Linked DNA regions of Nothobranchius furzeri. The protein of the gene in region 1 binds, or shares a complex with, the protein of each later gene. Links are inferred from orthologs where the notes say so. Each region holds a gene or a part of one and is shown in the gene's direction. Other genes may lie near its edges. The genes, in order: snw1, sf3b2, snip1, snrpg, snrpe, rbm48 and rbmx2.

Region 1 (4,066 bases):
CATGTTCAGCGAATCTACTTTGACGCCATCGCTAGTCGAAGGACCCCGAGCCGATCCTGCACCCGAGCAGATGTACCGACACCGGTGTCGGTACAGTATCTGCTCGGGTGCAAGATCGGCTCGGGGTCCTTCGACTCCCGATGACGTCAAAGTACGGCAAACCGACTCGGACAAAATGCACTACACATCTATACTGTTGGAAAGAATTTAGCACTTTCGTTATTAAAATAATGTTTCTTAAGACATAAGTTTGTGTTTATAATGGTATTTGTAAAATAAAACACTATTTCTTATATATCTTATTCATAATGTTGAACTCCTCTTTGAGCACATCCCTTGGCTTGAAGAATCATAGGTATTAGCAACACCTGTAAAATTGTATTTGCAGGAAAGAAGTGTGTCCCGTTTATTTAAGTATTTTGTGTTTAGAGTTGTTGACGTCTTGTCATAGACTGTAGCTGCTAGCCAAAACTCTGGAGTTAAAAGTTTTCTGGCTTTACTAAAAAACCTGTCTGTACTTATTTGATTGATGGTATTTTTACTTTCTATTAGACTCCAAATGTAATCATTTGGCACGTTTGTAATTCATAATTTGCAATAATGTAATCGGCGATATTAGCATTAGCATTCCTATGGGTTTTTCCATGTATATTAGCATTGCGCTAACCACTCGCTGCCAAATTGCAGCCTTTGAGATTAGAAAATCTCCTGGCTTTACTAAAATACCTGTCTGTACTTATTTGATTGATGGTATTTTTACTTTCTTTAAGACTCCAAATGTAATCATTTGGCACGTTTCTAATTCATAATTTGTAATAATGTAATCGGCGATATTAGCATTAGCATTCCTATGGGTTTTTCCATGTATATTAGCATTACGCTAACCACTCGCTGCCAAATTGAAGCCTTTGAGATTAGAAAATCTCCTTTTGTCACATCGCAATTTAATTGCACATGCAGTTAATCGTTCAGCCCTAATATACATGCAGCTCTATGCTAAAAGTGTATTTTCAAAGAGGTAATGATGGATTTCTTTGTAAAAGTTGTCCATCTTTCCAATGGAAAGATTTGCCTGGACCAACGTAACGTGATAACAACGTAACGTGATTGCGTATTTCCGTAAGGTTCATGTTCAGCCAATCAACTACTTAGACGTCATCGGCAGTCGACGGACCCCGAGCCGATCTTGCACCCGAGCAGATCCTGTACTGACACCGGCCCACTCGGCATTGACCTCGGAGAGTGAGGAGACCCATCCAATATGGCGGCAAAGCTCTCCATCGCACAATGGGGCGTCTACGTATTCATTTCTATGGTCTACGTAAGGAGCAGTCGCACGATCAGGAAGTGATGTAATGCCGCTGTGCGCATGCTCAGTTTATCCAAAAAGAAAAACTTAAACATGTCGCTTACTAGGTAAGTTCGTTGACAAGGCCTTGTCTGTTTATGCTATTTAAAGAGCTATTGACTGGGACTCATAATAACGTTTAGGAAAATTACATATTCAGGCTTTATCGCCGAAGTTCACGATTTAATTTTAATTGGTTTAATCGAAGCTAGCGGCAGTAGCCGAGGCTATCGTTTAGCTCGTCGGCTAAACATGTAGCATTAGCCATCTTGCAACACGCAGTCGTTGTCGCTGAGCAAGTTAGTTTTTCGGTCAATTTCATCTTAATTATGGCTTTCATTTGACCAAATTGTAATATTCAGTCATTTAAATTCATGATACTACTATTTATATTGAAGCCCTGGGCTAGACGAGCATTGATGTTTCCCCGTGTTCTTCCCCCTTCCTGCTTGCATCTGTTGTGTAAAACGATAAAATAAAATAAATTAAAAGGCTGAAATCAAACTGTGCAGAATTTAAATTTCGTCTTTGGTCTTTTCAGCCGGGGAAACGCATCCTGGTTAATGAATGAGATTGAAAGAATGTTCTGACTGTGCAAAGGAAAAATAAGGCGATTCACTTCTAAAATACTGACTTCTTCATGCTTCCTGGGAGAACTCTTCACGGGAGAGCTATTCTCATGTGCTAAAATGTGCACACACTTTATTTAAGCACTTGAATTGCTTTAAACTGCATGTGACATTTGTTGCAGGCTAGTAACAATTACTTTGAGATAAGTGGGGAAAAAAGATATTCATGATAATTATCTGTAAGGTGCAACAAAATGCTATGAATTCTTGTTGAAAGTGCTAGAATGGGATTTTTTATTATTATTTTATTTTAGAAAATCGCATAATACATGATTGCATGATGTGCCCAATCACCAATACCCTTCTGGGATTCTGTCATAGTGCTTAGATCAGTCCTGTTATAAATATCTTATGTATGTTTATTCTGTTTTTCTCTTCTTCCTAACAACTTTACTTGGTTCTTTTTCAAACACGGCAAGAGTTGTTATACCCTGTTTTTGCTGAAGTTTCGGCTAATGCTGTCTCCTTCCTCAGAGCGTGCTGCTGTTGTCGGCGTCAAATACTTCTCCGTTCATCCTGTTATAAATATTTACTCAGTCTTTGATATTTCACATGTTTATTGCTGAAGCTAATTCACATTCAGTATTATTTGACTTGTCTGACATGAATTGTCAAATTAAAAACACATTTTGACAACAAGGAAGAAACTTGCTTCTTTAAAGTAAAAGCAATTAATAAAAATATACAGCATAATAAAGATGATTTATAAATATTCCCCTTGCATGGTGGCAGTGGCATCAAGCATCACCAGCAATCAGACAAAGGATAGAACGATGTTTGGAGTGGCCCTGTCGAAAGTCCAAATTGTTATTATTGGCATTACTAGTATGTAGTCTCTCAGTATCACAATAAGATTACAGTACATCAAATGTGTCAGTGTTAACTTCTGGTAAAGCATAAACATGACCAAATCGGCTCCTGTGTCCAAATAGCTCAATTATTCCCCTTTGTGTTTATATTTATTGTCATTAGTGGCTAATACTAGTTCACTTAACACTTTTTAATTTGTTCTTCTTTGTTCATGAAGCTTTTTACCAGCGCCAACACAGCTGTCTCAGGACCAGCTGGAGGCAGAGGAGAGGCTATGCGCCCAAAAGGCTTACTCCACCGCTCTGGTTGCGTCCCGTAGAGAGCCCCCTCCTTATGGACACAGGAAAGGCTGGGTACCCCGCGCATTGGAGGTAGTTCCCACCATTAAGGCTTTAGAAATGGAACAGAGCTTTTGGCTTCATAGCCACACTAAAAAAAATCTTGGTGTGGTTTTAAAGTTGGGTGTATCTATTTTTCCAGGACTTTGGAGATGGGGGGGCATTCCCAGAAATCCATGTGGCTCAGTTTCCTCTGGAGATGGGCAGGGGGAAGAGAACGTCCAATGCCCTGGCTGTGCAAGTGGATGCTGAAGGAAAAATCAAATATGATGCCATCGCCAGACAAGGACAGGGAAAGGACAAGGTATGTTTGGTTATCATTGCCTTTTTTGATGTGTTTATTTGTAGTTAAGTGGATTCAGACAAATCCCATAAACCTGATAATGATTAAACTTTTCACAATTAAGTTGGCTTATGTCTTATTAGAAGTTTTTATTACATACCTGCAATCTTGTTGCTTTAGGGTGAAAATTGTCATTTTTGAAGCCAAACAGTAGAGATGCACTGAAAGGAAAATTCTTGGCTGAAACCAAGGCCAAAAACCACAACACTGAAATAAATGATGTCAATATTTAGAACCATAGCATGGGAAGGACTGTGCATTATGTAATATTGCATTTAATGAACCACGGCTGCAAATGTAATTCCTGGTGAAGTTATTACTTTACACCGGCAGATAGTGGAGATGTGTAACTGTAATCTGAGCAACACTTTTGGGTGTTTCTACTGATGTTTTCAGAGTTTATAGAGTTTAAACACTGCCCTTCGTACGGAGGTGAGGAGCGGAGCTCACAGAGGTCAAATCTATTAGATCTATTATTTTATGTTAGAGTGGAGAGACTTGCGATGCTGACAGGTCTGCTCATTGTTGACAAAGCTCTTTGTCTGATAATGGCTGACTCCGATTCTGGAGAGAAATATTCACCATCTGATGAAGAAAT
Region 2 (3,500 bases), about 55 Mb from region 1:
CAGGTCATCATCAGTTTGTGATTTTGTAGCCTCCTTTAGCTCCCTCAGACGAGCGTCGGCCACACCGATGTTTACTCTGTTTCTAGCTCTTTGCTTCACTGACTCTCCCCTCTACAGACGACGACGATGATGGGAGGGACATGGATGCCACCAATTCCTCAGCGCTGATGTCTGAGAACGACGAAGATGGTCTGATGTCTAAAAAAGATGTAAGTCCCATCTGCACAAAGCTCAGGAGCACCTAGTAGTGACCAAGTTTGATCCCGTTTTGAGTTGAACAAGCAATTTTTTTTCTCTCTCAGAAAAACCGCAAGAGGAGGAACCGCAAAAAGAAGAGCAAGAAGAAGCGAGCTCAGGAGAAGAAGGAACAAGCTGAGCAGCAGCAGAAGAAGGGAGGTGGTGAGAAGGAGAAGGAGAAAGAGAAAGGGAAGGAGCCAGAGGTGGAGATCGAGTACGTCACAGATGAGCCGGAGATCTACGACCCGAACTTTATCTTCTTCAAGAGGATTTTTGAGGCTTTTAAGGTGATTTTAATCAGCAGCACAGGTTCAGGTGTGTCTCTGTGTTGTTGTGATAACACTTTCCTGTCCTTCCTCGTTCCTAGCTGACTGATGATGTGAAAAAAGAGAAGGAGAAGGAGCCGGAGAAGGCGGAAAAGCAGGAAGTTTTAGGCGTTCTGCGAAAGAAAGGATTTGAGTTGGAGAGGAGAGACAGTGATGACAGCGATGAGGTACGAACTCGGTCATTTGAGCTTTCTGGTGGGTAAAAACATGTTGTGCCCCTTTAACGTCCAAAAACCTCACAGGAAGTCAAACAGGATGTTCCTAAACTGTCCAAGAAGAAGCTGAGGAGGATGAACAGGCTGACAGTGGCTGAGCTCAAACAGGTAGAGCAGCTTCCTTCTAGTTGATGTTGTAGTTGGTATCAGAGTCTTTAGTCACAAATGTTCCTACGTCCAGCTGGTGGCCCGACCCGATGTGGTGGAGATGCACGACGTGACGGCTCAGGAGCCCAAGCTGCTGGTGCACCTGAAGGCCACCAGGAACACGGTCCCTGTGCCGCGCCACTGGTGCTTCAAACGCAAGTACCTGCAGGGCAAGCGAGGCATAGAGAAGCCCCCGTTCCAGCTGCCGGAGTTCATCAGGAGGACGGGGATCCAGGAGATGAGGGAGGCTCTGCAGGAGAAGGTGGGTGTCAGCGGGACCTCTGCCTCCCTCGCCCTCTAGTGGTCACTGATGGGAGCTGTTCTGCTTGCAGGAGGACGCCAAAACCATGAAAACCAAAATGAGAGAGAAGGTTCGTCCCAAGATGGGAAAGATCGACATCGACTACCAGAAGCTCCACGACGCGTTCTTCAAGTGGCAGATCAAGCCCAAGCTCACCATCCATGGAGACCTCTACTACGAGGTATGGGACCACTCCTCTGGCTGCTCCTCACTTAAAAATCATCTCATGGCGTGTTTTTGTTTTTAGGGTAAAGAGTTTGAAACGCGTCTGAAAGAGAAGAAACCAGGAGATCTCTCTGATGAGCTGCGGATCGCTCTGGGGATGCCCGTGGGACCGGTAAGCTGTCCTCTTCTGTTAACATGTGTGATGCTTCTGTTTGCATCACCATGGTAACATGGATAGTAGCACGCTCAGTGGAGGCTACTCGTAACGAGGTGTTAAAATGGTTTCATGACTCAGCATTTTTGTGTTGTTTCTTGTCCATCAGAACGCCCACAAGGTGCCCCCCCCCTGGCTGATAGCCATGCAGAGGTACGGCCCCCCTCCCTCCTACCCCAACCTCAAGATCCCTGGACTCAACTCGCCCATCCCAGATGTAAGAGTTCATCGTGGTCTCCTCTGGTTGTGTTTGTGTCATGCTTCCTACTAACTTCCTGCTTCCGGGTGTGTTCCTGATCACCAGAACTGTACGTTTGGTTATCACGCCGGAGGCTGGGGCAAGCCGCCGGTGGACGAGATGGGCAAACCGCTTTACGGCGACGTGTTTGGGACCAACTCCGCTGACTTCCAGGTCAGAAATAAAACAGCTTTACACACAAAATATAAAAAAAGGTGCTAAATGAAAACCAGGGCCTGCTGACATCATCAGACTTTATTGATTCCTTCAAACTCTGATGCTATCACAGCCTGGCGGAGTCTAGCTGGTGGTCATTTTTATTACGTTTTTGTTGACAGATTAGGAATAGAGTTCATGTTTTAGAGTTTAATATAAAAATCAAGCTGGAACAGTGAGATCAAAGCCAGTCTGGTTGATGTGATGCTCTCTAAAGCACTTTGTTTATTATTTTCAGCTTTTAGAGCCCAAATTTACAAGAAAGAAAATCATGTTTATCATTGATTCTGTTATTTTATTTCATTTTTTTTTTCTAGCTGTGTAAAAGTGTGTTTTTGTTTGCGCGCGTGTGTGTGCGTATGTGTGTGTGTCCCCAGGCTAAAGCAGAGGAGGAGGAGGTGGACCGCACGCCGTGGGGAGAGCTGGAGCCTTCAGATGAGGAGTCATCAGAGGAGGAAGAGGAGGAGGAGAGCGATGAAGAGAAGCCAGATGAAACTGGATTCTTCACACCAGCTGACAGGTCTGAATGCTGTTAAAGAACACAGTTGTGTGACTGGTTAGACTGGGTTAGATTTACCTGATCTCTTGTGTGGGTGTAGTGGGTCTGTGTCCTGTCAGCATCACCCTCTCCCAGACGGGTAGGAGATGAAACAAATCTTTCCTTTTGTTCCTCAGTGGGCTGATCACACCTGGAGGCTTCTCGTCGGTGCCCATCGGCACGGAGACGCCTGAGCTGATTGAGCTGAGGAAGAAGAAGATCGAGGAGGCCATGGACGGGTGAGTGTAGCAGCTTTTCTGCTGCCTCCATCCCCTTTAGTTCATCGTTTTTACTGGTCGATGCATCAGGGTTCTCAGCAGGGAGACAAAGGATGTGTCCATATTCAGGGACAGCGTCCTCGTTAGGACCTGCCCACACGGGTCAGGTCGTTCCTCATCCACTGAGACTAGAAGAGAACGGCTGTTGATGTAAACCTTCTGATCCTGTCGCCTAGCAACTTCCACGGTGCCAAACAGAAGCTAAATCTAAACTTCTGAACACATAAAGAAATACGCGGCCTCACCATATCGGCTCTTTCACGAGGGGTTTTCTCATCGTTTTTGATGAAAATATATTTGAAAATCAGACATTCAAACAAACAAATCCTGACAAGACCACTGAAGTTTTTAGTTTTTGTACCACAAGAGGTTAAAATGCTTCCATCCTCTCCTGCTTCGCCCGCCATCGTCGCAAGGACCAGAATCTCCCGTGCATGAACTCTGGGATGGGATGGGCCGGTAACGATGCGTCCGAATGAGGGTGATGGGGAAGGTGCGCTGGCCTATTCTCCTCCGTCGTTGTCTTCTTACTTCTTAAATCAACCTTTTCGGGACTTTGCTAAGACGTCAGGACCATTTTGGCAGTGAGTGATGTCACTGATCAGTGCATGCTGCCAGTAAAATG
Region 3 (3,991 bases), on another chromosome or scaffold:
TGAAACCTCCGTTGATTGGTCCTCGTCTGAGCGACAGCGATGAAAAGTTGAAAATGTTTCAACTTTCTGGGATCGCGTCGCTGGGTCGTCCGTGCACGACACGTGCACGAGTGCAAAATTTCACACGCACGTTTTTCGCGTTTCGCTTAGTAGGAGAGAGACCCCCGATTATCGCTTTGTCGCGCATGTCTCATTGAAAATGAATGGAGGAGAGGTGATGTCGCCTCCCGTGTGTTGAGCCCTTAACACTCATGCCTGATGATTTTCCTGTTGTGCCTCACTCATGTGTCTTTCTTCCTCTGTCCTCTCTCTTTTCTCCTCTTTTTCTGTCTCTCTTCCTCACAGCACTCCTGTCTTCTCTTCTGTCTGTACTAACAAAAATGTTGTCAATCTGTGGGACAGTGGGGGCGAGTGAGACTGCTGCACACACACAAAAAAAAAGACTGCTGCTTGCGTGGGCCCCCTTGTGGCTGTGGGCCCCTGGGCCTGTGCCCAGTTTGCCCATATTATAATCCGGCCTTGCCAAAAGCGCATCACGCACAGTGTGTGGGGTTTATGAAAAAAGCCAGATTATATTAATTATAGCATTAGCTACTGAACAACAAGCACACAAACAACACTTAAGTAATTAACTGGCGTTATTTCCCATCTGTATAATTTAAGCCGATGTGCTTTTTTCCGCTCTGGTTTGTGAGATGGGCAGCAGTTGTTGTTTTTTCCCTTGTCAGTGGCTCTATTCCCTTTTCCGTACAGAGTAGAAATAAATAAATAAAATGTAGGGCACAAAAAGTCTGGATCTCTTTGCTCTGTGTTTCTTCCAACAACTTCCGTTAATGGTACCCCTTCAATCCACACCTTTAGGGTTTGTCCGACTTACTTTGGTTGAGCTTGAGGCTGTCCTCTTAACCAAAACGGGATCGTCATATTTCAAGAGAGAATCGTCTAATTCAATCATCCTGACGCCTTTATGTACAGAAATAGCTGTTTATGTTGTCATGGTAACGTTCGGGCGTTTGCCGGAAAACAGAAAAAAAAAGATCTAAGCGCAATTTAAAAAAGAAAAATAGCTCAAATCCACTTGGAGTTGAATTTACGGCTTCATAAAAATATCTGTAGTTTTCATGATTTAATCCGTGTTATCTTTAAACGGAACGGAAGTCATCATAGCGGAACGTTTAGTTGAAAGCACATATACCACGTCGGAAGAAATTGTCAGCGCGCCAAACGGAAACGGAACGCAACTTTAGCAACCGTTTGGTGGGTTTTGCGTTTGTTTGCTTCTGTGGCTAACTATGCTTGCGTAGCCACAAAAAGTTGACGGATTTTGTTCAAAAATGGCCAAAGAGAAGCGACACAAGAGAAGAGATTCTCCCACGCGAGAGCCGGAAGTGAAAGTAAAACAGGAGAAATTGAGTCCGAGTAGGCCGCAGAAATCACGCCGCTCGAGGTCGAGATCCACAGACAACTCCAGTCCACAGAGGAGAAGAACCAGCAGGTAAACACGCGTTTGTCGCCCTTTGAGCACCACCAAGGTGATAATATTCAGATCTGATGTTCTTTATTTTCTAATAACTGAATTTAAATGTGACTTAAGTTGACACATCTTCAAAGGAAATGCTTTTTAGAAAAAAAAAGTTCAGATAATTTACGTTATTTCTTTATATCACAGTAAGTAGATTGTTATTAACACGTGTATTTACAACTATATCACGTTCAGCTTCAAGTGCCTATAGTACGTCAGTTAGATTATTAACCAAGCTCCTGTCTTACTCGAATGAGTACAAATCAAGAAACAATCAAAAGCATCTAAATATATAGTTTATATAGCTACATTTATTTAAATTTCTTATAATGTGTAGTAATATTCTAAAATCCAATGGCAATTAGCTAAAACATGCGTTTTAGCTAATCAAAACTTTATTAATTGGTATCAAAAACTAACATCTTAGATCCTCTACACACATTTTGGATATTTAATGCAAAGTCAAAGTATTGATTAATCTTGTTTAATTCCCACACCTGATCTCTTACAATCTCTAACACTGAAAGATGACTTTATTACTATTTTAGTTTGTAAATGCTGCCTAACTGATACGAGTGGCTTAAGAGTGTTTTCTCTTTTGTGCTCCTCACACAGGTCACCCGTGAGGACAAGAGACCGCTCACCAGGCAGAAGGGAGACCTCTCCTGTTAGACGAAACAGCAGATCTCCCAGAAACAAGAGAAATCACAGCCCTCATTGTAGCAGTGACTCTAGAATAAAGAGGGTGATTATAAAATTCTAAACTGAAACTGACTTGTCTCAACTTGTAGTCATGAAGGTTTTGTGTTTTTGTTTTAGGAGCGTGATGAGCATAGATCTAGCGGCGATGAGCGGAGGAGGAGGAACGAGCAGCCAGATGAAAGACGAAGCAGGTGGGAACATAACAGGTCCGGGGACCGGGATGGAGAGAGGCATCGTGAGCGAAACTCCCAAGTGACTCAGCAAGCTGAGCGGCGGCAGCACGATGAGCGGCGTAGGGAAAATCGGCGGCGGCGTGAAGAAAATCAAGAACAGGAGTTTGGACAAGCTGAGGGAGACGGCAGCGACTCGGGGGCACCGCCTGCTGATAAAGAGAAGCCCAACTTTGAATTGTCAGGGGCTCTCACAGAGGACACCAACACGTTCCGTGGGGTGGTGATCAAGTACAACGAGCCACAGGAAGCTCGAATTCCAAAGCGCAGGTGGCGATTGTACCCTTTCAAGAATGATGAACCCCTTCCTGTCATGTACATTCACAGACAGAGTGCCTATTTGTTGGGGCGGCAAAGAAAGATCGCTGATATCCCCATCGACCACCCATCCTGCTCCAAGCAACATGCAGTATTCCAATACAGGTATGTTGTATGTAAATGTTTTCACTGTGTGATTAATTAGATTTGTGGGGAAAATATACAACTAAGGATTCTGTTTATTCTGCAGGTTAGTGGAGTACACTCGAAAAGACGGCACCACTGGCCGCAGGGTAAGGCCTTATATCATCGACCTCGCTTCTGGCAACGGTACCTACCTGAACAACCAGCGGATCGAGTCTCAGCGCTACTACGAGCTCAAAGAAAAAGACGTTCTCAAGTTTGGCTTTAGCAGCCGCGAATACGTCCTATTGCACGAATTCTCCGACACGAGCGAAGTTGATGCAAAGCAGGAAGAAGAAGAAGACGAGGGTCTTGAGTAAATTACTCCCAATGTGTTTGTGCCTAAATTCATTTATGATGGATAAGACCAATGAGAATGTTAGAAAGTGGAGCGATGTATCTTGTGCGTGGGAATTCACACCACGTGGTTGGATTGTTATGTATATTGTGTAAATATTGAACTCTTGCTTAAACCTGCCACACCTGTCTCCAAGTAGACCTCCTTTCTCAGGATTAATGCATGGCTGATCTCATGTGTTATGTCAGGGTACATCATTGGAAAACCAACCTTATGTTTAGGAAAGCATTTCTTATTGACTTAATGAACATAAATACACAGAATATAATAATTGTATTTTTATTTTTTGCTTTTTTTTGTAGTGGAGGGGAAATACTTGATGCTATGTGTTTCTGCATCATTTATACAAAAACTTCCCTGTTTGATTTTGTCAGTTCAGGTGTATTGATAGTAAGAGTTCATTTTTCTACTGTAAATTAAAATATAGATTATTAAAAAAAATCTCTGTGATTGTTATTAAAGAGCAAGTAACGCCTAAATTAACTATTTTTTTTTGTGCTGATAACTTGCACAGATGAGTGTCTAATGGGGCTGTACACACGTGTAATCATTAATGTGGCAGTTTAGTAGCCTGGCAAGCCAGACTAAATAAATGTATTATTTACTTTGCAAAGCAAGAATTTGGTCTAGTTCACTAGGTTAGCAGTTTAGTGCGTCTTACTTAAAATTTGATACTTCAGCCCAAAACCATAATTATATCTCCATCTTTTGGTTAAAACCTCTGCTCCACATTTATGT
Region 4 (4,043 bases), on another chromosome or scaffold:
TTGTTTTTGCTTAGTCTTAAACGTTGGCATATTTACTTCACCATTTGTACAATCCTTTTACATCATTCTTTGTATTTATTTTCCAGACCACACGGAACCACAGAAATGTACAGATGTCCATACTTCAACTGTCATTAAATACGTAAAACTGTCTCTCCGTGCCCTGCTCTCTGACCGGAGCCCTTATCTTGAAGATACTGTCAGATCAGCAAATAACTTCCAGAGTTCCCACTCTATCACATTGTTACTGGTCAGAATAAAGGTAGTGATGTCATTGTTACTGGTCAGAATAAAGGTAGTGATGTCATTGTTACTGGTCAGAATAAAGGTAGTGATGTCATTGTTACTGGTCGGAATAAAGGTAGTGATGTCATTGTTGGCGTCAGGCACTATTCCGGAAGGGCAAACAGGTTTTTGACCGCTGTGGCATGAAGACGTTTGAATGGGAAAGTAATCGGATTACTCCTATCATTGTTACATCCTGGAATGCAATCAACATTAAACAAGAAGCATTATCATAACAACTCCACGCTTAAGGCTGTTCAAGTAATTTAGTCAACATCGGATCAACACAGAGCGTCAACCAGGTCCCGGTCTAGCAGCCTCAGGAGTTCGAGTAATGGACTTGACTTCTACAGTTGCCTTCTTGAAATCACAATCTGGTTTTATTGTGTTCTTAGATATTGGTTGTGGGCTTCCATGAGTTTTCATAGTCAAACTTGGTTTCACTGAATTTTATTTGTTGTTTTTTACTTTGTCAAAAATAGCTCTTCTTCCTGTTATCTGTTGAATCTGCTTAATTTTAACTATACTTTTTAACTTGATGAGAATTTACAGAAATGAAAGAATAACTTTAAAGATTAGGTTAAATTGTGTAAATTATACAAACTGCACAACAGATTTCCATCCTGGAAAAGAAGAGAACGAAGTTGAGCTGACACTGCTGGGAGCTAGGGACTCCGGTCTGACAGGTAAAAATCAGGCAGCACAATGCATCTCTGTCGTTCAACAGCAAAATAAATGGTCAACTGAATACAAACAATAAGGTAGAAGGAACATAAAATATGCACTTATTAACATCGTTTTACATTTCAAATACATTTCAGTATAATATGTAATACTTACGTTTACTTTTGCTTTTTTGTAAGATTGACAATAAAATTGTAAAAGTTGTTTGAAACAAAGTGTTCTTGCAGATATTTGCAGATCCAACCCTAACACGTTCTCCTCCCCGCCTCGAGGGGGCGTAGTGGGACTGTAAACGCTAACTGCTTCACTTCCGGTCACATTTTCCTTCCGCGGTTTTGTTCAACGTAACCCCGACGAGCTAGCTCACCGGACTTCGGTACAAAAAACGATACAGAATGAGCAAAGCACACCCGCCAGAGCTGAAGAAGTAAGTTCACGTGTTTAAAAATAACAATTAGAAATTATTAATTTTGTTTCCACGATTTTAACGGAAAGAACGTGTTAGCCTGTTAGCTTTGCTCCATTCTTTACCATGAGGCTAACATTAGCAACCCTGCCTGAACTGTGAACCACCGTCGCCTGAAATGTTGTTTTATGTTTCAGATTCATGGATAAAAAGCTTTCATGTGAGTATGGCGTTTTACGAATATGTCTTTAAAGCCCCTATTGTGATTATGAAGAGTTTATAGTTTTAAGGTGCTAAAACATTAAAACCACGTGACGGAATAATAATCGATTGCATTTGTGTTGCGCTTTACATCACGACAATCTCAACGCGTTTAGAGGAAAGGAAAATGTTGATTATGAAAGATGAAAAGCTTTACTATAAAAGATCTACTAGAGAGAAACGTTTTCAGTCCTTCTTAAAAGCCGCTTGTAGGTTGGGGTGTGCTTAAACTCTCAGGGTAGGGTTAAAGGTTAGAGGGTGGAGGGCATTGTCCTCCGTGGTGCTCAGCCTGGTCTGGGTCTATGAAGCAAGTCTGACAAAAACCAGCAGATTTAAAATCCATCTAAGTCAAATCAAAAGGCTGAGAAGGGTTGGGAACACCAGAGCAGAAGGTGCAGCACGAGGAGCAACGACTGACAGGAAGATGAATAAAGAGACCAGAGATGGGGCACATCTGAGCTCGCGGGGAAGCTGATTTCATCTGTGTGCAGCATCACCCTGCTTGGTTCTGACCCGGTGCAGCTCAGGTCTGAATCAGTTATGAGTCTTTGTCCTTTAGCTCTAAACTGTAATTCTATCTGTGTGTGTTGTAGTTAGTGTTTTATCATGTCCTGGTGACTGTAAAGCACATAGGATTGCCTCTGTGTTTGAAACGTGCTCGAGACATAAAGCTGCCTTGTCTTCGTTCCTCTGGAGCCGAGCTGAGCAGTAACGTCCATCCTAACCTTCTGATTCCCAAAGACGATAACTTCAGTCTCGTCTTTGTTAAACTGGAGGAAGTTAGACTGCATCCGGTCGTTTGCTTGCCTCAAACACTGACAGAGTGAGTCTAGGGATAGGCAATTGTGAGTATACACATGCGCAATAATAAATATATTTCTTTGATAACTTTTAAGAGATCATTCTGTTGGTGTAAAATCATTTTTTAGGCATGTCAGCTAATGTTTGGTTAGATTTTAAATGTTTGTATTTACTTTTGTTTATTTAGCTGCATAATTGGGGTAAATAGCTTGGTTTGCAGGGGTTCTGTGAAGATTGTGCAGGGTTTTTCCTGCATTCAAATTAGAGCTGAGGAAAATAATCGATGCATCGGGATGCGGACATAAATCGTAGAAGAGTACGCCGTAATCGATTATAGTGGAATGTAGTTTTGTTTTTTTAACGGCGGCACCAGCATCTGTCAGAGTGAGCGTCCTCCACATTTACCACGTGGTTCCGCCTTGATGTGGTACTGCATTGCTGAGCGCTAGAGTTGTAACCTGAGCCGGAACCAAATCAGCCCGACCGGTTCTGTTGGATTTGGGCCGTGAATTATGTTAATTGAGCGGGTTGTCATGTGGCGCGCTCCGCTCGATCAGAGAGAGAGACTGTCTACTCACACGAGAGGATCGCAGGACGCTCCTCTAAACCGATGCTCCAAACACGCGTTATTGTTTTCATAATTTCTCCTGGAAGCGCTCAGTCAGACTTAGGGATGGGTACCTTTGACATTTGAATCGATCCGGTACTAATTCCCGGTACCTAGGAATCGATACCGGTACTTAACGGTATCAATTTTAGATACTTTTGAGTGTTTATTATTTTAATTCTCTTTTATAATTAAATATATATTTTTCTCAATATATAACCATATTTGATAAATATCACGATAAAAAACATACAACTGTTTGTATTTTAACATGGTCCTTGTAGTTTTATAAGCTGATAATTAAACTGAAGCAAACGTCTTTACTGTGAACTAAATTTACTGTGTATCTTCATTCCTTTTGCCGTCTTTTTCATTTGATTTTTCCTACTGGGAAGTTAGAATTTCCGAGGAGAAAGCGAACGCACCATTAGCTGATAACAATAGTAGCAATGGAAGCTAACATACCAAGCTAACGTTATCTTTAACAGTTTATTTAGCTGCTGGAGCAGATTAAAACGATGATGCCTCACACTTAGATCGTTGTCGCTGGTTTCATCTTCACCCAATCACCCGTCGCATTTAGTAAAGTGAAGCCAAACTTTAGAGCGCGTTCATGTTATTCCAGTCGGAAATTCGAAGTTCCGAGGAGAAAGCGAACGCACCATTAGCTGATAACAACGGTGGCAATGGAAGCTAACATACCAAGCTAACGTTATCTTAAACAGTTTATTTAGCTGCTGGAGCAGATTAAAACGATGATGCCTCACACTTAGATCGTTGTCGCTGGTTTCATCTTCACCCAATCACCCGTCGCATTTAGTAAAGTGAAGCCAAACTTTAGAGCGCGTTCATGTTATTCCAGTCGGAAATTCGAAGTTCCGAGGAGAAAGCGAACACACCATTAGCGAAACGGAAGCTAACATATCGAGCTAACGTTATCTTAAACATGTTATTTACCTACCGGAGCAGATTAAGATGAGGATGTCTCACTTAGATCGT
Region 5 (3,963 bases), on another chromosome or scaffold:
TGCACCACCAAGGGTCCTTGCCTTCCCCCCCACTCGCAGAGACTTGTCTGTCCTCGGCTGCTAATTATCAACCCACTTTCTCCTCTGTGAGGCAGGGACAAGCCTGTGTTGCATGTTATTAATACTATTGTGAACTACTCAAGGCTGTGTTCCTTGACTCGGCTCATCATGTTACAGGTTTACTGTGCACAACAGAGAAATGGCAGACCCCGTTTTTTATAAAACCACCTATAAATATCACGGGGAACGGCTTTGTCCAGCAATGGTCAGATTCAGGATTTAAAGGCCTTCTTCCTGGGAAAAGAGGGGCTTTATACACATCAAGATGAGGAATTAACTCTGTTTTTGTCCATCTATTAACCAAGTCTCATATTTACAAATGGACTGTAAAATCTGGAAAGTGACACAGCCCCATCTAGAGGCCAAAAGCCCCAGACTGACGACACACTACAAAATATACGCATACAACTTTGTTTTGACCCCCAGGAGGTATGAGCTCAACTCAACAAGCCAATCACGTGATCGGATCTAATCCTGGAACAACACCTCTGGGGACACAAAAGCCATCCAGACCACAGAGAAAAAACCCAAACCCATCAGACTTCTGACTACGTAATCAGATCTAAAGGTCTCAGAAAAAAGTCTGGCAGACAAAAGGAGCTCAGGAAAAGTTTAGTCAGGCTACAAGACCTTTTTTCTGAGACCTTTGATGCAGTGCGGCCTGCTCACTGCCTGCTACTCCCGAAGAGGAAGCGAGCCTTTGTCACTCACTATCCATCAGTCATCATCCAAGACACGGCTGAAGACGCTCTTCTATGATTTGGCTTTCAGATTGTGACTTTTTAAAGTTCTCTTTTATTGTGTGTTTGATTGTAGTTTTTATCTGCTTTTATTGGCTGATTTATTGGTGTTTTTATGAGTTTTATTGTTACTGTATTGTTATGCGCATTTGGTCAGCTCCCATGCTGCTTTTAAATGAAATAAATAAATTGGTACGGTATGAAGTCAGAAGTCTGATGGGGTTTGAATGAAACCTGCTTTTTTCCCTCCATGCTCTGATGTCTGGCACCTGAGGGTGTGCTAAAACGAACAGGCTGCTGCAGTAGAGTCCTCCGTCCTGCGGAGGCGCTGTTCCGTTGCTGTTTGTTAAAAATCGGTTAATCAGACCGGTTAAAGATCCTGCTCGCGCGGAAACCTGCCATTGTAGCTAGCTCTCAACGCGGGTCAAACGTTAAGGTGCATTTGGTCCAGAAGGTGCAGTTTTTGTTTACCGAACACATTTCGTTGGTGTTTTGCTGGAGAGATGGCGTACAGAGGACAAGGACAGAAGGTGCAGAAGGTCATGGTGCAGCCCATCGTATCCTTTGTATGATGGAGAACGCGTGAGTGGAGCTAGGTGTTTAGCAGCCTGGCTAACCGGTGGCCCAGTTCGCTGAACGAACGCGCGGATTCCGTTCCAACTGTGTGATTCTGGTGTTTATGAAAATTAATGAGATGATGCACGTGTTCCGCATCATGTCGGAGAAAAAGAAACGGCCCCGAGGCGAACTTAGCAGCAAAACTAGCGCCGCTAATGCTAATGGCTCCGGTTAGCTGTACCGCTGGAGGTGATGGGAGCTTCTGATCTCCTGAAGCATCGGTTATCCAGAGTACTTTGTAGGACTTTGCAGTTGTAATCGAAAAGGTTCTGAGGACGCCATTGTACAGCTGCCCTCCGACCTCTTCGGGAAATGGCTAAAGGGCAAATTATTCTCTACTCTGACCACCTTTAATCTGCTCTAGCTCGAAAACGACACCACCTGCGCTCTTCAGCCCTGTACTGCAATATCCTAGACTAATGGCAGGTTACTCGAACATAGTTTAAATAGTCCATGATTCATCACATGTGAATTGGATGAACTAAACATTGAAGTTGGACGGTGAAGTTCTGAGTTTTAATTTTATTTTTGGTATTTTACATGAAAAGTTAAAGTCTGTTTATCTGCAGCACTTAATAGCTGATCAGTTTAATCCTGATCTTAATGGGCTTTGTAAACAGTTAGGCTCTGGTCATTTCTCATGTTTAACATTTTATTATCGGGTGAAACACGGGTCGCATTACCAATTTGGATTTTAATATTTAATTTCTACAAGATATACAGTCAGCAGCTATCAGATTATTAGAATTTAGAGTGAGCTGTTTAGCTGAATCCTTCTAACGAAGTGCCCCTAGTGCACACGCGATAATGAATCTTAAGTATACCTTGTTAGATACATGAGCTCCTTAAGGGCTCCTCTACTGAAAAGTACTTTTAAAGCCTGAATTAAACATCTGTCATATTTGAAACAGAGCTGTGAAACCAGGGACCACAAAAAGGTATTAAATGGCCTTTTAAGTAAAGCTTTCACAAATATCAGAGTTGATTTTAATTGTTCTGCTACCAGTGCAGAATAATCCAGTACAGGTTTGAAATGTCTAGGTATTGTTGTTTTGAAACTATGGCTGTTCAGTGTGGTCTAGATGCAGAAAACGTGCTAAAATCTGGTTTCTTGAAGTTTCACAAATCAGAAAAAGGTTTTACAAATCACAAATGATGTTTTTTGCAATCTGCTATTAGTCTAGAATAATCCAGTTCAGGTTTGAAGAGTGCAGGTGTTGTAGTTTTCCAGCCAGAGCAGATTAAAGATGGTCAGAGAAAAATTGGGCGTAATTGCCCTTTAGCGGTTTCCCGGATCTGAAGCCAACTTCAGCCTCGTCTTCCTCAGCCTTTGTGGTTTATAATAACAATAAGTGTAAACATGTTTGTTTGGGTCTAACTAAAGTAGAGTCGGTCAGTGGCATTGGCCCGAACACGAGCAGAACTCCTCTGTGCCGGGTCGGTTACATTGAGATTGTTTGGAGTGGAACCTGTAAGTGAAACCTGAATGAAGGCACGGCCCGAGATGTCCGACCATCAGTCCCAGCCCCGCTGTCATTTATTTTCAGGACATGGTTACCAAATCCTATGTACTGATTTTTATGTTGGCAGCTGCTGAGTGTAACTCTGTTACTTTAAAATGTAATAAGTTACTTTTAATGGCAATGAATAAAGGTAACACTACAACTGAGTACAAATGTAGGCTACAGACGTGCGTGTACTGTTACTGCTGAGCGTTGGTTTTCCTTGACTCTACCTTCAGAACCTTATCTTCAGATACCTTCAAAATGTAAGTTGCTATCCCTTTAGTTTGAAATGGTTTTATTTAGATGAAGAACCTCTAAGTTGTTCCCTGCCTGTCCCCAGCGCTCACGGATCCAGGTGTGGCTGTATGAGCAGGTCAACATGAGGATAGAGGGCTGCATAATCGTAAGTAATGGCTTTGTTTCATTCTTCCTTACCTCCATATGCAACAGGGATGCCTGATAGGTTATCTGCTGCTGGATACCCACGTGGATGGGCTGTTTTTCAGAGTGTTTTCAGGGCCTGTGAAAGGATTTTTTTAACTTTAAAAACTCACCTCACACGGCCCAGAGTTTCTCTAAAACTCATATTAAATATTGAACTTCCTCCGTGCCGTATTGTTCGTTGTAGGATGAAAACTTTACACTTGTCCTGCGGGAAAAGTTCAGCAGGTTCTTTTACGTTTTTGCTGCATTACAGCCTCATTTGGGTCCTAGTCCTTGATCTCTGGAGAACACAGCTGCACCATGAGAATATGAAAGTGTGTCAGGGCTAGGGTTGTCACGGTAACCGGTGTAGCGGTAAACCCCGGTAAAAAAGTTGACAATAGTAATAACCGTCTTGTTTTTAAAAAAAACTATATTATCTCGGTGGATTACCGTGGCTGCGGTGTAGGCGCGGTGACCCTTACCAGCCACCGTATCATCTGCTGAAGTTGCCGGCGGCACATGCGCACTTTGTTGTTTACAACCAAAACTTTCTTTAAGCTAAAGCTGAAATAATGGCCAGAGGAGGAGACGGCAGCACTCAGGACATTTATTAT
Region 6 (4,244 bases), on another chromosome or scaffold:
TAAGCATTTTATGTGTTAAAGGACCATGGCTGCAGTGTGTGTGTGTGTGTGTGTTTTAATGCAAACGATGCAAGGAAAGGGAGAGAGAAAATGAATAGGGAAGCGGGAAATCAGTGGATCACGGAAATGTGGAATAAGTGCAAAGAGCAGAACAAGGAGAGGGTGGTGAAGGTCCCACCAAAGCCTGAACAGGTGACTTTTCAGCTGCTTTTTAAAGGAGACCACTGAGTCCACTGATCTCAGGCTCAGGGGGAGAGAGGTCCACAGTCTGGGGGCCACACCAGCAAATGATCTGTCACCTTTGACCTTTAGCCTGGTGCTGCACAACCAGTTGGCTTTGATCACTGGACCTCAGGGACCTGCTGGGGGTGTAGGGACTAAGAAGATCACCAATGTAAGATGGTGCTTGTCCATGTAAGGCTCTATAGACCAGAACCAGGATCTTGAAATGAACCCTGAAGTTGACTGGCAGCCAGTGAAGCTGGAGGAGAAGCGGGGTGATGTGGGTGCGTTTGGAGGACTTGGTCAGAAGCCGAGCACAGGCGTTCTGAACCACCTGTAGACGGTTCAGGGAGGTTCTGCTCAGACACGTGAAAAGAGAGTTACAGTAGTCTAAGTGTGTCTCTCTAAGTCTCTAATGCAGTAAAATAAGGCAAACATAGATGTCAAGGAAGCAATTCACCTGAAAATCCTAAAAACCAGCAGCTGTCGTTGATTAGGTAACTGTTTGCTTTGCATGTTTATAAAATCTCAAACAAAAGTACTTTCATCTGAGCATAAGACAACCCGGCTAGTCGTTTAAAAACTGTCATCTGTTTATGCTAGCACAGACATTATACATTAAAACTAAGTCTTAACGTACAGAAATGATCTAAAAAGCAGTAAATCAACATGAAATTAGTTAGCTAACCTACCTCGTTCAAGGAAAGATGCGCTACCAACTTGGAAGGGAGGTGAAGAAAGCAGTTTTTTGTGTTGTTAAAAACGACACGAACGGCTTGAATTCCCTGGTTGCTAAACATAATTTTCGCATTGCTAGCTAGCTTAGCATACACCAGGCAGAGAGAGCAATTGGATTTATCGATGTGCTCTGTGGACGATGGACTCCTCACCAGGCAAAAGTAGTTGATCTTTTGCTTTCAAAATAAAAGAGTATTCTAACAGGCAGCGCGACGGTATTCACTGAACTGTAAGCATTTATTTTGAAAGTGTTAAACCGGAAGCGCAGACGCATTCACTGAACTAAAAGCGTTTATTTTGAAAGTGTTAAACCGGAAGTGCAGACGCATTCACTGAACTAAAAGCATTTATTTTGAAAGTGTTAAACCGGAAGCGCAGACGCATTCACTGAACTAAAAGCGTTTATTTTGAAAGTGTTAAACCGGAAGTGCAGACGCATTCACTGAACTAAAAGCATTTATTTTGAAAGTGTTAAACCGGAACAGCATTTAGAATAAGCATGGCGGTCCCTGTAAACAACAGCTCCGGTTGTTGGAAAGTTCCTGACGTTCACAAACATCACGAACAGCAGAAAGTTTGCATTTCTCGACCAAAGTATCGAGAAGGAAGAAGAGCTAAAGCGGTTAAGGTGAGACAATCTTAGAAGTTATTAATTTCAGCTAAAATGTTCATAAATTCTGTAAAGAAGACACACAAGATTTGCTTTAGCTTAATTGGTAACATCATTCTAATACTGCACTGAACGCAGGAAATGTAACTTTAGTCTTGTGAATTTCCAGGTGTACACCATTAACCTAGAGTCCCGTTTCCTGATGGTACTGGGAGTCCCAGCTATCGGTGTGATGACGGAGCTGGTCCAGCTGTGTGCCCTGTATGGTGTTGTGGAGGAGTACAGACCTCTGGACGAGTATCCGGCTGAGGAGTTTACAGAAGTCTACCTCATCAAGTTCCAGAAGCTAACCAGCGCCAGGTACGATTTATTCGCTCCTCATACTTTACTGGAAATACCTGCTTAATCGTTATCGAATGTTTCTGTTTCAGAGCAGCCAAACGCAACATGGATGAGAAAAGCTTCTACGGCGGTGTGCTGCATGTGTGTTACGTCCCAGAGTATGAGACTGTAGAAGACACCAGGCTAAAGCTACAGGACCGGAGGGGTTATGTTATGAGAGCAGCTCGGAGCAGAGGTATCGTTTAACATCATGTTTGATTTAGTTCTGACCTTTAAATGTTGCTTTTCAATGCTTTAAAACAAATCTTCTCTTACAAAGCAAAAGCGGCGCACAGCGAAGGCTCCGCATCATCGACGACTGCATCAGACATAAACGTCAGACACGATCAAACCTCTAAAAAAGAATGTGCAGAGGATGCTTCAAACCACAGCCAACATGCAGAATTCCCTCCTCTCCCATTACCTCCATGGGAGCAGCATCCCTTTGGACATAACAGTCCACATGGGATCAGCGCACAGGAGGACAAAATGGGAACTTTACATGATGCCATCATAAACTTGAAACAGCCCCAAGTGGAAAAGTTAAGCGTTAACCAAGCCTCAGAGAGAGACCACGACACAGAACACAGACTGACCTCAGATCAGGCTTCAGCATTCAGGTTTCTCCCAAGGTCCTCGCACTTGGAGATCAGGAAACGCAGAATGGAAGAGGCTCCCGAGCAGTCGGCAAGTGTTTCTGGAGGAACCGAGACCCTGATTGGACCGAAATTACCAGAACCACCTAAACTGGACATGAATGATGACTCGTTGAACACAACTGCCAGCCTGATCAGGAACACAATGAAACAGGTCATTGTTGATTCAGTACTTTAATAATTTCATAAAAAGTAAATCAGCCTTAATGAAGGATTAAAACATGTGAATCTTTTTTTTTTTTTTTTCAGGTGGGATCTGCTCCGGGTTTCAAAGCTGTTGAGAAAAAGACAAAACCACGTCGTCGGATATGATCTGGACAGGTGTCTAGATGGGAGTCTTGGAAGAAAACCGACGCTCCCACTGCTTCGGAAAACTGTTTATCTCATCGGCTGTTGTATGCTATGATACCAACCTGTATAAAAAAGGTTAAAAAAAACAGCTATTATGTAAAGAGTGCACAAATTTACATTTAGAAAGCTAAAGAAATACTAATACTGTGTTTCCTATGTGCATGTTGCCGTGGCGCGCCACTACGGAAAAATAAAAGCTGCCACACCTTCAGAAGTAAACAAAAAAAAAACTTCAAACAACGTACCTTCAGAAACATTTTTTTTGGATATACATTAAAACAATAACGAGACATATATAGTCTATATTTGTGCATGTGTACTAACCATAGTCACAGTTTAAAATAAATTTTATTGCAACAAAACTTTAAACTGCAGTTCAAAAAGATCTACCGACCGCTAAATTAGCGAGGGCGCACCGGTGTGGTGAAGTCACCTGAGGACAAAACAGGTGATGCGCTTCGCTCCGCAGCAGCAAAACGCATCGGGCACAAATAAAAGACAGGAAGCATAAAAAGGACACGAGTCGACATAAACAATCGTGTGTTATACGTGGAGACACTGAGAATGTTACTGTCGCCATGCTCAGGACACCGCTCTGGTGCGCGCCAACCATCAGGAGGTGAGCGAAGGAGAGACAAGTGGAGAGGCAGAACAAGGACCAGCATGCATAAGTGAGCATGATGAGGGAGAGAGCAGCAGGGAAGCGGTAAGAGGGAAGAAAAAAGTCAGCACAGAGAATCTGGCTGGGACCCAAAATGGACAGAAATCAAGTTCCGCCCATGGCTGTAATCAAGGTGGGAATCAAGCAATACAAATTATTTCAAGGTAAATATATTTTTACATTTTTTTTATTTAATTGTAATTAAACAATAAGCTGATTTACACACCTGCGATGGACTGGCTCTCTGTTCAGGGTGGCACCAGCCCCCAACCCCCCACCCCCGCGACCCTACATGGACAAAGCGGGTTCAGACAATGGATGGATGGATGTTTTACACACACCTGCAGGAATGTTCATCGAAAAGCATACTGCTCGTGTCTCAGAGCGACCGTCTCCGCACGTCTCTCCACCACGGTTTATCAAAATCGTAGAGGAAACCCTGAGCATGTTATTTTATCTCACACTGTCAATATTTTAACTGCTAAAACTTTCTGCATATTAGGAAAATCTTGAAATCCTTCACATGGGTGCAAATTTACCACCAAACAAATAAAATGGTCACAAAAACATTAGAACAGTACTAATTAAAGAAAAATAACAGCCCAAAATAGACTTTTACAAAAAC
Region 7 (4,255 bases), on another chromosome or scaffold:
CTGGATGGACTTCTCAGAGAGTCTGCCACAGTAATCCCTGACCAGCGCCATCAGCCTGAAACATGGACCGGTTCTGTTCAGTCAAGATGTTTATCAGCTGACATCTAGGTGACCAGCAGGCAGCTCCATCTGAAGGTTCTGTTTAGAACCAGAACAAACCTGTTGAGGAACTCGATGATGGTGAACGGTGAGGAGTCGGCTGTCGTCGTGGCGACCCAGTAAAGGCCTTCATGTCTGACATGTACAAAGTGCAGGTCTCTGTCGCTCTGCGGGACACAGAATCAGGTTTGTTTTACTTTTGACTCTCGAATCATCTGCATGGTTTCAGTCCAGTTCCTCAGACAGTAAACAGACGCCGAAACATCGTTGCTTCATCCTGATGTGACTTCTAATCTAGTGGTTCTGGTTTGACCTACTCTTCGTGTTTGGGTCAAATCAGAACTCAAAACAACACAACAGTTTGGGTCTAAATGTGTCCCAGACTGTGGAGGCGTTACCGTGACGACCAGAGGTTGGTCTCCAGTCAGCGCTGTGACCTTCTCATAGAAGATGTTGACCACATCGTTTCCTCTTTGGCCTCGGTCTGATTGTTGGCTTGGGTTAAGCTCTAACTCCTGATAGGGTAAAGTCTCACGGGACTGGAAGCAAAAGGATACAGTCCTTGTAGATGAGATGGTCCCCCTTGGAGGACAGGATGAAGACCTGAGAGATCATCCTCCTGAAAGGAAGATCACAAGCACAAGATTAATGATAATGATAACTAATATTTATATGGAATATCACACCTTATTGATCATTTAATAAAAGTGACCACTTCCGTCACGTTACAACATGTTTATCAGAGTTGGAATAAAGCCAAATCCTATCTAATTTATTGTATTATAAGTGTTAACAGCACTGTTGTGTACTGGTGAGAACCTGCAGATAAAACTACAGAAGTTCCGCTAACGGAAAGGTGGATCTGTGAGGGGTTACAGCTGCTGTACTCGCCTGCGGAAGGTGTGGGGTCTACCTGGAAGAACCAGATCTTACTGCGGCTATTTTTAACAGAACTTCAAAGGAAATGAAAGCACGGCTGGTGCTGCTTTGGCTAGCAGTAAGCTATAGATAAACTTTAATAACTCACAGGGCCGCAGTTTTCAGAAACGCTGAATACAACCAGATAAGCTCATTGTCTGCAGGGTTACAAAGCTAACCTGACAGAAAGGTTTTGGGTTTATATTCAGGTTATAGCTACGGTTTACGACACGGCTCCGTTAGCATGTAGCCCCACAGCGCTCCCTTGTGGACAGGAGGTTGAATGAGGATTGCATTAATAACTTTATATTTATTAACTTCACGATGAGTGAACTCATAGCTACGTAAGAAATTGCTTCAGATACATCAACCTAGATGGTTTGGGTGTGTTATATAAACCCGAGAGAAATAATCTGCACATGTTTAATGATCGCTTGTAGTTTAGATCTCCAAACTGCAGAGGGCAGCAGAGACGAACCAAACGGAAGTGGTCTACCTCAACAAATAAAACGTCTGATCTGTGCCCTAATTTCTGTAACTAACTATGAAGTAAGTACATTTATGTATTCATAAATGACACGAACCACCGACACAACACTGTTCTACTTCTTGTCGTGTAGTTAAAGTAAAAAGAGCGAGTTCGTTATTCTGCGGTTTGATGACTGATCCTGGTGCAGCATGCTAGCTGTTAGCTAGCTCCTACTCGTAGCCGATCGGATTCTGCTCAAAAAACAGATAATTTAACATTTTTTCCTTAAAAACCAGAGAGAGCATGTAATAAAACATAAACACCCAGTTGTGTTTGGGATGTAGCATGTATCTTTGATGCTTCAAGAAGACATTTGATCATGTGTAGGTTGGCTATTGTTTTGTTTACACCCCTGACCTTCTACTACGTGTTTTATTCTAGACCAGTGTGTCTGATAAAGTTGACTAATAATTTATGTCAACTGCTGATGAAGACAGGACCACAAGCTTGGTCATATGTGGTGTTATCTTTTTCTCATGAATGTTTCTACGTCTGCTGCAAAAAAAAAGATCATTCGACTAATAAAACACACCACTCCGATCGTATTTACCCCGGAAGTCAAAGGGGACACATTTACATGTATATCCAGCCATTGTCTGAACCCGCATATCCTCACAGGGTTCTGGGGGGCTGGTGCCTATCTCCAGCAGTCTCTGGGCATGCAGGCGGGGTACATCCTGGATGGGTTGCCAGTCCATCGTCCATCGTAGGGCAGCCCAGAGGCACACAGGACAAACAACCATGCACAGCCACCTAAGGATGATTTAGGCAGACCAATCAACCTGACAGTCGTGTTTTTGGACTGTGGGAGGAAGCCGGAGTACCCGGAGAGAACCCACGCATGCACAGGGAGAACATGCAAGCTCTATGCAGAAAGACGGGCTGGGATGTAAACCCAGGACCTCCTTGCTGCAAGGCAACAGCCCTCAGAATTAAAATGTCAAATTTAAATCAAGCCAACAAGTGAAACGGAGCAGCTCGACCAGGAACACCGTGGTCCTGCTGGAGGAACAGGATTATGCCTGCTGCTGCTGAAGGGTCATTAGGGTCAGGCTCAAGGTTGGGGTTGAATAGAAAAGCTCGACTCTTTTTCTCTGTAGTCCAAACAAAAAGCAGTTTTTCTTTCTAAATTGTCCTGACAGCTTTTCACAATAAAACTCCAATTGAGTCAGAATCAGGTCCAGTCCCTAACGGGACGATTTACTGAGCAACTTGTGTGTTTTCAGTCCTCTAACGAAGGTGAAGCTGATTAACGAGCTGAATGAGCGCGAGGCTGACCTCGGCATCAGCGAGACCGTCTCCTGGCACACAGAGTACCGGGACAGTGCCTGGATCTTCATCGGTGAGAACTCCTCAAACCCAGCCCTTCACACGTGGAGACGTTGGGATGAGTTTGGTGTTTTGGGCTTTTGGAGACGATTTGCTTCTGTTCATTAACAACATAAAAAGGGATCTCATGAATGAAACTGTTGAAGTGGGTTTGTTTGGTTCTGATGATGCTTACGAGGTCTCGTTTCCTGCAGGAGGGTTCCCCTTCGAGCTGACTGAAGGAGACCTGATCTGTGTCTTCTCCCAGTACGTACATGCTTACGTCTCACCTGCTTTACGTTATAGCTGACATGACAGTGACGTTTGTCTCCTCTCGACAAACCTGCCAGGTACGGAGAGATCGTCAACATCAACCTGGTGAGAGACAAGAAGACGGGGAAGTCTAAAGGGTTCTGCTTCATCTGCTATGAGGACCAGAGGAGCACCATCCTGGCAGTGGACAACTTCAATGGCATAAAGGTGACTTCCTGTCCTCACCAGGTCCTGGTGTGGACCCAGCGCCGCTCCTTGCTGGCCCACAGCGGCATCAACATGGTCTCTGATGAGACAATTAGCTAAAATCTTTTTGTTGTTGTTTAAACGTTCAGATTAAAGGTCGAACTATCCGCGTGGATCACGTTAAAAATTATCGTCCTCCCAAAGACAACGAGGACATGGACGATGTGACCAAACATCTCAGAGAAGAGGGCTGTGCTCCCAAAGGTCCTACTGTTGTCCCCTCTTCCTCTGAGGAAGAAGAGCAGTGCGTCGTACCTGCGAAGAAGCCCAAAAAAGGTGAGGTCACTTCCTGTTACCTGAAAGTCACCTGATCTAGGACCAGGTGGACTTATTTCCCTTTTCTGTCTCAGATAAGAAAGAGAAGAAGAAGAAAAAAAAGAAAGAGAAGAGGAAGAAGAGCAGAGCTCCCTCTTCATCACCTTCTCCTCCTCCTGCAGTCTTCAGACTGAAAGAGGAGAAGCAAGACGCCGCCTACGACAAGTACAACCACAAGGAGGTGCCTGCAGGGCAGAGGACGAGGGACACGGAGAGAGGAAAGGGGACAGACAGGAATGAAGACAAGTGGAGGAACTGTGAGAGAGAGGTGGACAGAGACAAGGACAGAAGAGACGACTATAGGAGACAAGAGATGGACAGAGACAAAAGACGAAGAGAGAGGGAGTGGGACGAAGACAGAAGAAAAGACGGAGACAACAGGAAACGGGAGCCGTATAGAAAATAGACAGGTTGTGATTGGCCGATCCATGGTGTGTGTGTGTGTGTTTTAATGTTTCGTATTAAAATCTGACCTGAACACCTGATACACTTCATGTCTGATGTCCAACACCTGAGGACGGGTGAGACTTTTACAAAGCAACACGTTGGCGAACTCGTGAAGCATTT

What was found.
Region 2: snw1 (region 1) and sf3b2 share a complex: the UniProt entries of both Homo sapiens proteins name them as parts of the minor spliceosome. The link is inferred for Nothobranchius furzeri from reciprocal best matches to the Homo sapiens genes SNW1 and SF3B2.
Region 3: snw1 (region 1) and snip1 share a complex: the UniProt entries of both Homo sapiens proteins name them as parts of the SNARP complex. The link is inferred for Nothobranchius furzeri from reciprocal best matches to the Homo sapiens genes SNW1 and SNIP1.
Region 4: snw1 (region 1) and snrpg share a complex: the UniProt entries of both Homo sapiens proteins name them as parts of the minor spliceosome. The link is inferred for Nothobranchius furzeri from reciprocal best matches to the Homo sapiens genes SNW1 and SNRPG.
Region 5: snw1 (region 1) and snrpe share a complex: the UniProt entries of both Homo sapiens proteins name them as parts of the minor spliceosome. The link is inferred for Nothobranchius furzeri from reciprocal best matches to the Homo sapiens genes SNW1 and SNRPE.
Region 6: snw1 (region 1) and rbm48 share a complex: the UniProt entries of both Homo sapiens proteins name them as parts of the minor spliceosome. The link is inferred for Nothobranchius furzeri from reciprocal best matches to the Homo sapiens genes SNW1 and RBM48.
Region 7: snw1 (region 1) and rbmx2 share a complex: the UniProt entries of both Homo sapiens proteins name them as parts of the minor spliceosome. The link is inferred for Nothobranchius furzeri from reciprocal best matches to the Homo sapiens genes SNW1 and RBMX2.

The regions. Positions count from the first base shown.
Region 1 is NC_091742.1:20,646,474-20,650,539, forward strand, and holds the start of snw1 (SNW domain-containing protein 1), read left to right. Parts: upstream 1-1,266; 5' UTR 1,267-1,369; coding exon 1,370-1,416; intron 1,417-3,004; coding exon 3,005-3,158; intron 3,159-3,267; coding exon 3,268-3,429; intron 3,430-4,066. UniProt on the Homo sapiens protein: Involved in pre-mRNA splicing as component of the spliceosome. As a component of the minor spliceosome, involved in the splicing of U12-type introns in pre-mRNAs.
Region 2 is NC_091742.1:75,387,253-75,390,752, reverse strand, and holds part of sf3b2 (splicing factor 3B subunit 2), read left to right. Parts: intron 1-117; coding exon 118-209; intron 210-302; coding exon 303-524; intron 525-604; coding exon 605-730; intron 731-805; coding exon 806-886; intron 887-959; coding exon 960-1,187; intron 1,188-1,257; coding exon 1,258-1,407; intron 1,408-1,473; coding exon 1,474-1,563; intron 1,564-1,714; coding exon 1,715-1,822; intron 1,823-1,909; coding exon 1,910-2,017; intron 2,018-2,436; coding exon 2,437-2,579; intron 2,580-2,734; coding exon 2,735-2,836; intron 2,837-3,500. UniProt on the Homo sapiens protein: Component of the 17S U2 SnRNP complex of the spliceosome, a large ribonucleoprotein complex that removes introns from transcribed pre-mRNAs.
Region 3 is NC_091745.1:70,706,952-70,710,942, forward strand, and holds snip1 (smad nuclear-interacting protein 1), read left to right. Parts: upstream 1-1,191; 5' UTR 1,192-1,334; coding exon 1,335-1,495; intron 1,496-2,137; coding exon 2,138-2,267; intron 2,268-2,341; coding exon 2,342-2,877; intron 2,878-2,962; coding exon 2,963-3,215; 3' UTR 3,216-3,694; downstream 3,695-3,991. Other genes in the region: dnali1 (axonemal dynein light intermediate polypeptide 1), read right to left, coding at 878-955. UniProt on the Homo sapiens protein: Required for pre-mRNA splicing as component of the spliceosome. As a component of the minor spliceosome, involved in the splicing of U12-type introns in pre-mRNAs. Down-regulates NF-kappa-B signaling by competing with RELA for CREBBP/EP300 binding.
Region 4 is NC_091755.1:44,512,153-44,516,195, forward strand, and holds the start of snrpg (small nuclear ribonucleoprotein G), read left to right. Parts: upstream 1-1,243; 5' UTR 1,244-1,364; coding exon 1,365-1,396; intron 1,397-1,572; coding exon 1,573-1,595; intron 1,596-4,043. UniProt on the Homo sapiens protein: Plays a role in pre-mRNA splicing as a core component of the spliceosomal U1, U2, U4 and U5 small nuclear ribonucleoproteins (snRNPs), the building blocks of the spliceosome.
Region 5 is NC_091743.1:2,209,500-2,213,462, forward strand, and holds the start of snrpe (small nuclear ribonucleoprotein E), read left to right. Parts: upstream 1-1,163; 5' UTR 1,164-1,303; coding exon 1,304-1,357; intron 1,358-3,159; coding exon 3,160-3,186; intron 3,187-3,263; coding exon 3,264-3,326; intron 3,327-3,963. UniProt on the Homo sapiens protein: Plays a role in pre-mRNA splicing as a core component of the spliceosomal U1, U2, U4 and U5 small nuclear ribonucleoproteins (snRNPs), the building blocks of the spliceosome.
Region 6 is NC_091759.1:22,195,766-22,200,009, forward strand, and holds rbm48 (RNA-binding protein 48), read left to right. Parts: upstream 1-1,444; 5' UTR 1,445-1,459; coding exon 1,460-1,588; intron 1,589-1,739; coding exon 1,740-1,930; intron 1,931-2,001; coding exon 2,002-2,147; intron 2,148-2,231; coding exon 2,232-2,761; intron 2,762-2,856; coding exon 2,857-2,919; 3' UTR 2,920-3,842; downstream 3,843-4,244. Other genes in the region: peroxisomal ATPase PEX1, read right to left, coding at 915-1,022. UniProt on the Homo sapiens protein: As a component of the minor spliceosome, involved in the splicing of U12-type introns in pre-mRNAs.
Region 7 is NC_091750.1:26,772,697-26,776,951, reverse strand, and holds rbmx2 (RNA-binding motif protein, X-linked 2), read left to right. Parts: upstream 1-1,455; 5' UTR 1,456-1,561; coding exon 1,562-1,566; intron 1,567-2,772; coding exon 2,773-2,888; intron 2,889-3,069; coding exon 3,070-3,121; intron 3,122-3,204; coding exon 3,205-3,334; intron 3,335-3,462; coding exon 3,463-3,649; intron 3,650-3,723; coding exon 3,724-4,094; 3' UTR 4,095-4,173; downstream 4,174-4,255. Other genes in the region: ap4m1 (AP-4 complex subunit mu-1), read right to left, coding at 1-55, 160-266, 498-583, 657-718. UniProt on the Homo sapiens protein: Involved in pre-mRNA splicing as component of the activated spliceosome. As a component of the minor spliceosome, involved in the splicing of U12-type introns in pre-mRNAs.